Coturnix japonica: one gene and its partner. Each later gene encodes a partner of the first gene's protein in a complex. Links are inferred from orthologs where the notes say so. Each region holds a gene or a part of one and is shown on either strand. Other genes may lie near its edges.

Evidence for each region. Proteins that work in one complex are often made in the same cells at the same time.
Region 2: KAT6A (region 1) and BRPF3 share a complex: the UniProt entries of both Homo sapiens proteins name them as parts of the MOZ/MORF complex. The link is inferred for Coturnix japonica from reciprocal best matches to the Homo sapiens genes KAT6A and BRPF3.

Annotation. Positions count from the first base shown.
Region 1 is NC_029537.1:4,049,477-4,053,498, forward strand, and holds part of KAT6A (histone acetyltransferase KAT6A), read right to left. Parts: intron 3,143-4,022; coding exon 3,034-3,142; intron 2,586-3,033; coding exon 2,470-2,585; intron 2,227-2,469; coding exon 2,145-2,226; intron 1,603-2,144; coding exon 1,467-1,602; intron 851-1,466; coding exon 537-850; intron 1-536. UniProt on the Homo sapiens protein: Histone acetyltransferase that acetylates lysine residues in histone H3 and histone H4 (in vitro). Component of the MOZ/MORF complex which has a histone H3 acetyltransferase activity. May act as a transcriptional coactivator for RUNX1 and RUNX2.
Region 2 is NC_029541.1:568,628-573,354, reverse strand, and holds the start of BRPF3 (bromodomain and PHD finger-containing protein 3), read right to left. Parts: upstream 3,167-4,727; 5' UTR 3,049-3,166; coding exon 3,007-3,048; intron 2,072-3,006; coding exon 666-2,071; intron 1-665. UniProt on the Homo sapiens protein: Scaffold subunit of various histone acetyltransferase (HAT) complexes, such as the MOZ/MORF and HBO1 complexes, which have a histone H3 acetyltransferase activity.

The DNA.
Region 1 (4,022 bases):
GCTTACCACCCAAGCAACACCCTCCCACAAAACAATAAAAAAACCAAGCAAAGTAGAACTATATTCAAGGAAGGATGCTCTCCAGCAGGAAGACGAGCACTGCATGAAGCAAGCTCCTCTATGGGGTAAGAAAAGGTAAGAAATGTTTGCATGCAAGCCTGATCAGAAAAAAGTCTTTCTGAAACATGTTTTCATACTTCAACATTCTTTCTTCTTCATTGCATTAGCTACACCCTATGTTATTCCTTTCAACCATGACATTATTTAGCAAATTAATTTAGGTTATAAGCCAGCTCCTTATCACCAAAAGGGCATTTTACCTGATAGTAATCATTCAGTCCCTAAATCACATCTTGCCATCATAAAGTGGCAAAGGTCTCTTCTTCCCTTTTCCAGCTCTCACAGTGCACCAAAGATAGCTGCATTTGAGTAACTTTCCAGCCTCCAACAACTCTCATCATTTCAGCATCCTAGCCTTTGTGAACATTTTTTCTGGAGTACAAAATACCTGCAGTGGCAGAGTGAAAAATCTTTACCTGTGGGCCACTCTGAAGTGCTAGATTTTCTGGTACCCTTTTTCCTTATCCTATACTGCTGAGAATAGTCTACCACTTCCCCTCGAGCTTTTCGTCCGTCAGGGGAGGGAGTGAAGAATTTAGTAAGGCCATCTATAAGCCCTTTGGTTTTCTTGTTAAACTTCAAGGTAGCACTGCCATCTCTGCAGTAGTCCAACACTTCTGTCTGCTCCAGGTATCCTCCTTCTGATGATGCTGACTGGCTGGACAGAGTTATCTTACGCTTCCTACCCCGACCAGGGCCAGTTCGAACTTTGCTGAAGGGTGCTTTTGATCTAAAGAAACAGAAAGGGAAACATATGGTAAGAGCTGGTAAAGTGGTTTGGTGTGGCTTGCAGAGTGGATTAGTGTCTTCCCTACTTATTTATGTATCACACAGAAGTTAAACGTGAGCTAATTCTAAACACCTTGGTGCTGCACATTGAAAAGTTTGTCTAAGTATAAATAACAGATATTCACTGAATTTAATAAATGAGATTACAGGAGATGGTAGACAGAATGAATACACAAAGTTTCAATTAACATTTTTCAATTTATGTCTCTCTAAGCATCAGAAACAATGCAAAGCAAAGCGATTCTATCAGAAGAAGCAGACATTCAGAATAACAGATCTGACAAAAACAGCAAAATAAATGAATGACTAGAAGGAACAGTTTGTAACATAATGTAGAGCTATTACAAAGAATAATAATGAAAAAAATCAGGGCACAAATAAACTGTGAGATTACTTCATTCTTTCACAGAACCCTTCAGAAATTTTGTATTAAAGAAAAATGAAAAACTTTTCATTGTAAAAAAAAAAAAATCTCACAGAAAGCAGACTTGACACTTCAGAAATGCTCATTGTCCTACAGAATCACACACCTCATTCCTCTTTATAGAGAAACTTACGTTGCATTTTGATTCTTTAACCTGTTTTTGGGACGTCCTATTGGATTAGCATAGCGTCGTTTTATCTGTGCTGCCTTCTTGTGTAAAAGTTTTCTTCCTTTCTTACGTGGCCGACATATTTGACATATCCACATACCTATAAAACACACAGTCACCACTACTGAATGCAAGGAACATCAACATTGAATAAAGATACAACTAAAGGCCCCAGGCTTTCCAAAAGAAAGGGTAAGAATAGGATCAAAGTCCTCTCCACAGATACACATGTACGAAAAGTTAAGCATAAACCAGCAATCTAAATTCATATTTGGTTAATTCCCACTCCCTCAAATACTGTTTCAAAAATGTACAAGCCAACCTCTTTCTGATGTACAAAGCTATTCATTCAAATCAAAGCTGACCACTTTAATCTGCATGGATCAATTTTATTCCCTCAGTTTTTGAAGTCTTTGTTTTTCAAAATTCTTCACAGAAAATAATTTATAGGAAGCAGAAACAGACAGAGGAAAATCTCTGACCCTTCCCAAAGAAAACTTTAGTTTTTAACACCTGAAAAGCAATAACGTAAAGAGCAAGTTAGAAGTAAATAAAAGAGAACAAAGCGTGTTGAAGCACTTTCTAGCCACTGATCTCTTCTTACACCACATTAAATTAAGCCTTTCATCACAAACTCCTCACCTTTTGGCATTCGGGAAAGTGGTGGATCACAGCACTCCATGTGGAACCCTCTATCACAGGAGTCGCAAAATAGCATGTTATCCTGTTGAAGACAGATAAACTTAATCTCTTTTTGATGTGCATCAATCCCTCCATTAATTTGTCACCATCTGGGAGAATACACATGTATTTCTCACACTACTGACACTGTATTTGACAGGTGTCAGAAAGCCTACAAAACAGAAGCTGCAAATACTTAACTCCAGAATTGTTTTATTTTATATTTTAACAGAACATTCGCAAGGCTGATGTCATACTAAATCAGACCATACTCTACTGTACTCACAGCATTTTTGCCCTGATCTCGACAGGAACTGCAGGTTTTGCACTCAATACATTGCCATCGCAAGGCTTTGACTCGAACTGTCAGCTCTGGTGAGAACTTCAAACAAGAAGGATGACCTGCAGGAAATAGAGAACATAACACCAGTAAAACCACTCTACTGCTTCTAATGATCACAGATAGCACACAGAGCATTCACTTTGTTAATCACATATTTCCATGAAGAAATATGATTATTCAGATGCTCCTGTTTATAGATGCACTGACTCTTATCCACTTATACATAGCACCTAGAAAGTAAATGGCAGGGCCATGTTCAAAAGCACACCAAGATATTTTTTCATAACTTAATTAAGTTATGCTAGTCATCACTACTAGATTTTTTCCAGAAACTTCCAGGGAGTAAAGTAACTGCTTGTTAGGTTAACTTAAGTGTCAGTTCAACTAACCATATCATGTCACAGATGCATACTCCCAGTACGCATGGATCAGTGTCAGTCACTACACTAAACTTTTCTACCACAGGTGACTGGGTTATTACCAGCAGCATTGTAAGTGGTCACCTACCGCTATTGCCACAGTCAGCGCAAGAGATAAGCTCTTCAGGTTTCTTCTCCCGATTTTGCTCTTTTGTACCAAGGCAGAAACTGCAGATTGGAATTGGTTCAGCAACCGGCTACACGAGAAAAACAAACAACAAAATAACTCAGTATATCAAAGCAGCAAACTTATATAATACACCAAATCATGTAGGCATTTACATCACATGTAAATATTATGTACTGCACACTGTGCTGGTTCTCACCACACAGTAAGTACTGCATCAACACTGTAACCCAAAGAAAAATTAGAATGCTAAAGAGAAATAATTCCAGCCTCAAAGGGAAAAGAGAACAGAATTCCAGGACTAGAGGAAACTTGGAAAGCAAGAGCAGCAAATTAATATGTAAGAGAAAGAAAATTACAGCATGTTGATGTCTCAATTTGTCACCAAATGAAGGAGCTATGAGACAACACACGTATGATCCCAGAACACAGCAATCTTAGAAATTCCCTTCATGTATCCACAGCCACTGTCTCAGAAGTGTTTGTGATATATTAACTAAAATAAAATGTAGCTCATGGAACAATAACTACTACAGTACCATTAACATGTGTATGAAAAGTGAAAATAAAAGGACATTTTTGCGCAGGAGATTACACAAGTGTCTTATTTAGCACTCAAAAGCAGCACATGAAAAGGTTTGACCCCTCTGGAAAAGTTCAGGTCATTTAAACACTCCCTAAGAGAAAAAGATATTTAAGATAAAGAACAACACTTGCAAAATCATAGCTCGATATTAACCAGTCAGCAATACTTGTAAAATTCTTGTGCCATAGGACTGGCATTCTGTAACAGCTTCCTCAAGGAAGTAACAAGCACAGTAAACTGATTGGTTTAAATTAAAAATACTTGATCAACTAATGAGAGGGAAAGTACAGCCTTGCCTACAGTAACATTAACTGCTGGATTAGGAATTTCTTTCTAATCCAATTCTGCATTTTCCAAGAAAAAT
Region 2 (4,727 bases), on another chromosome or scaffold:
GCCCCAGACAGGAGCCCAACAATAATACAGTACCTATTTTAATCTTTTCAAACCATTCATTAGATTACATGTGGTCTTATCAGCAGTTTTCCAAAGTTTGCCTATTGAAATACTGGCAACACATCACCACACTTCCTCAGCCACCAAATAGAAACTCAGCACTCCCTAATTCTGTTTGAAGGAGAGCTTGGAGAAAAAAAATGTACAGCCAGATTCTAAGCTGCTTGAAACATTTACATGTTTAACATGTTCTGCAGTAAAAGGAACAATAAAGATGCTATGTAATGAGGGGATTGAAAAAAATATATCAACAGGAGGATGACTCCCATTCACCTGCCAACCTGTAATGCCTGATGTATTTTAAAAACACCTTCACAGCCATCTATGTAAATTTGGATGCTAGCTGCATGTTTGCCTGTTAGGTACCACGAAAGATCTGTACTACATAACATTTTGGGGTTGTTGCTTGGCAAAGCAGGGAAACCAGTGCACAACTGGCATGCACATGGAAGAATGTTGGTGAGGAATGTTCCTGCAGAGCACAATCTGAACACAGTTACTGCTAGGTCTGGGCTAAAGAGGGTGCTTCCAAGTTCAACAACGAAAGGGATCGAGTCCATAGAACAGACCCTGTTCATCTTCTGCTGTCCAGCTCCAACACTCACCTGTAAGATGGAATTTGTGCAACTGCCACCATGGGCATAGATGAACGCCCATCAGTCCCCTCACTAGGTTCCTTTTTGATCTTCTGCTTCAATTTCACTTTGTTCTTCTTTAGGGATGCTTGGGGAGGACCAGAATTGCCTTCTTCCTCCCTCTCCTCCTTCACAATGCCCTCCTGCCTCTCACTGGTAGCAGCTGAATGCCCTTTTTTCACTGTTCCAGGTGGGGAATGGCTCTCGCAATAGGCAGTCTTGCGCACAGTGAATGTTGTGCCATTGATGCTGGTCTCCCTCATGGGTTCAATCTTCATGAAGAGACCAGCCCGCTGGGCACAGGTGACATGGAAGGCAGTATAACAGTTCACTTTGTGGCATTGGATAGCAGCTCCCATGCCCTTCTGCTTGCAGATATAGCATGTGAGCTTCCACCGAGCTGGGGGAATGTTATTTATCCCTTCAATGGGCTCCAGGAACACAGTGTTTGCAAAGCAGACCTCTGGAATCCAAATGGCACAAACCACATGAGCCCAGCGGCCATCACTGGTCTGCTTGAAGGCTCCACCTTTGTTTGGGCAGAGTACACAATCAACAGGGCGAGAAGGGGACTGTAAGCAGCAGCGGCAAAGCCACTGCCCCTCAGGAATATAGGGCACCCCGTAACACTCCTGGTGCACAGCCAGGTTGCACATATCACAGAACAAGATGACGTTGCTGTTGTGACACTCATCATCCATGCAAACACAGCAGAATGCATCCTCATCAATGACAGACTGCTGAGTCCCGTTGTTTCGGCTCTCAAGGTACGACTCCTTTTCCAAGCGGTCCACCAGCAGCTCAAAAGTCTCAGCAGAAATAATCCCATAACCATCATCCCTTCTCTTCTCATTCACCATTTCCAGCCATGCCAGATCCTCCTCATCCATGTCATACTCCACCTCTGCATCAAGGTCCTCGGGAGGCTTCTCAATGTACCGGTAGTAGGCAGCAGGGAGAGGGGGGGCCTCTGGCTGTTTCAGGGAGTCCACCACACGGAACTTCGGCTGGGGTAAGTGTAAAGATGTTCCTGATGTGTGTTTGGAGCAGGATTCCTTCTTCTTGCCTTTGGAAGGTGCTTTCTTGGATTTTGAAGGGAAAAGGGGCTGCTCGCTGTTTTCCTTATTGCTGTTGCATTCTGTGATGTCCTGGGCAGTCAGTTCATCCTCTGTGATGATTTTTAAGGGATCGTAGATGCCAATGCGGTGAAGCCGCCCATCTATGTCTACTTCCACAATGCGCTGGGCCTGAGCGTACGTCAGCATGTCCCGAGTGGGTGAGCACTTCAGGCTGTAGGGTGATGGAGAATGCCGGCCCTCCAGATTCTGCCGTGACCTCCTCCGAGGCTTCCTCATCGCTGTGGTGCACCAGAGACGCTGCAACAAACCGGGACCAGCATGAGCAAAGGAGACAAGCTAACAGGAGCAGCACAGATTGAAAAACCCACACAGCATCACAATAGAAAAACATTTCAACTAAGGGCCTCAGCAATTTCAGGCTCAGAGGTTACTTCACCTTAAATACAAGCAAGTACTGGATGTATCAATCATTTCTGTAGTACATATCTGAGCAAGGCACAGCACGCTCCAAATCTCTCTGCTTGCAAACCAGGAAATGTTTCCCATACCAACAGATGAGAAGAGTTGAAATGGGTTTTAGAGAATGGCATCTAAATGCTCTGCTGTGCACTCAGACCAACAAACCATCCAGATCCTCAGAAACGCAGACATTACTAATAAACCCGCTTGAACCGTTCAGTACTTAGTTCACACAGGCCAAGGAGTTCTCTCTGTTCTTTTGCCTGCAAGTTCCCAGCAGTATACATAATGTGCTGAATATTAGGTCTGGTTTTCCAGGCCTAAAGGAAAGCACTCTTCCTGCCCCACAAAAGCAGTTCCCCCTGCCCACCATTTTGTGTGTTTTTTTTTTTTTAGCTGAGCTCTATGTGAGAATGTATACCAGCACTGCTCTGAGGTTCAGAAGGAAGTTCACCCACATCTCCCATCCCACTGCAACACTTCTTCCTTCACCCACATAGTGAAAGAGTTTCATGGTGAAAAACTATCTACCAGTTTTGCCTTCCTTTCTCCTGCAAGCTGGTTTCTCACACCATCCTGCAGACAGAACATGCACTGAGCTAACCCATGTCCTCCACATCATGCAAAATGGATTACAAAAGTCTATGAAGAACCAGAGGATGAACTGAACAATGGGTGCTAGCTGCGCAACCCTTCTTCTCTTGGGTAGGATCTACAAAGAAGTAAAATGGAACAAGTATGGGAACGAGCAATATGGATCCAGAAGGACTTACAAGTTCTGTCTCAGCATCAGCTCTTCTGAAGCCACGATCCATGTACAGGCCCCTGAGCTGGTTCCGCTTGCAAGATCCACAGGGGTACAAGTAGGAAAGCAGCAGGACACTGTCTAGACCAAGCTGTACTGTGAACTATGCAATGGTGCTCAAACAGAGCCTTAACTAAAAGCCCAAGACAGCTCTGCCCTCACAAACTGCTAATCAGCAACAAAGATAATCATTTGAGAGTCAGCTCCAGCCATTAAGGAGGTGCCCAACAAGGAGGGGTGGAGATGAGCTGGCAAGAGGAGCTGGAGAAGAATGGAAAGGCAGCAGCAGGATCCCAAAGATCTGAGGGCAAAAGAGGGAAAGTAGAGAGGAAGCCAAGTGAGTAATGCGAGGGAGAAGGGCAGTCAGGGATAAGAGTGCAGAGCCCAGGCAGAGGAACAAAACAGGCCAAAGAAAGAGGGAGACGAGAAAAAGAAAAGCAAATGTAAAATCTCCCCAAGAAGATAAGTCAGCCTGGAGCTTATCTGTTGCTATGCAGGGGCCTGAACCAGCAACTCACCCTAAGTTAGAGTACAGCACTTTCAGCCCCTTTCTGTAGGACCTGCAGACAAACAAAGCATTTGAATTTAGCTGTCACGTTATTTTTTTGCTCCATGACGGACTTAACTTCACAAAACCTCAAGTGAATCAAAGCAAGCAGCACCTCGTGGATCAGTGCCTGCAAGAATTCATGAAGTTATTCCAGAACGGAGTAACGGATTTCTGGAAAAACACTCTTCTCCTGAAAGCACTGCCCTGTTAACCAGGAGTCTGCCTGATCAGCTTGGTCAACCAATGGAAAACCAAGGAAACCCTGCTGACATATGGCTCAGGTACAACCTAAGGCAGACTGGTTTAATTGAAGAAGACACTGGATGCAAGACGTTATATGAACATAATTATTGTGGAGGATAAAGCAATCAGAATGACCTGACCACAGCCATTATTAATATTGTGTTCAAGAAAAACAAGACTTTAGCTGATGGCTGGCAGTGCTGAATGATGAGAAAATTTCAGCCAAGCAAGCACTCCAAGGAAGGGTTATTTTACCTGCTGACATGACAAACAAGAACAGGATGTTATTGTAGTAGCTTTTGAGAAACAGTCGGTTTACTGTCTGGAGAAATTACCCCAAGTGGGCTTTTTACCACAGCAACTGGCTGCTATAAACCAACCCATTTGTAAAACACACAATTACTTAACACTACATAGAAGCATCTAAAACGGCACTGAAATTGCTGCCAGCCAACACTCAGCGCCTGGGATAAGAATTCCAGCTCATTTCTAAAAGGCATCTGGATAATAGGAGAGATACAATCACCCACCTCCGAAAAGCTTTGAAAGCAGAAATGAAACAAACTCAGCCATGCCAAGATGGAACACTGTGACCTTGCCTGCAACACAGCAACTTCTAAGTAATCTAGGAATGTTACCATCTTCTCAGTACACTTGACAACACTTCACCAGCCACATATAAAACATTATCCCTGTGTGAACAGCATCTGTGCATGCTGAAATGCTAAACTGCCTTGACTTCAGCAGGGTTAAATATTCCTTCGGCCTATGCTGCTTTTGTCCTACCATGGACAAATGTTGTTGATATAAAAGCAGAAAGTTCAAAGAGTTGTCATCTTGCTGTCACCAATGCGCTCAAGGCTTTCCAGAAACACCCTATAATCCAGTTTCACTGG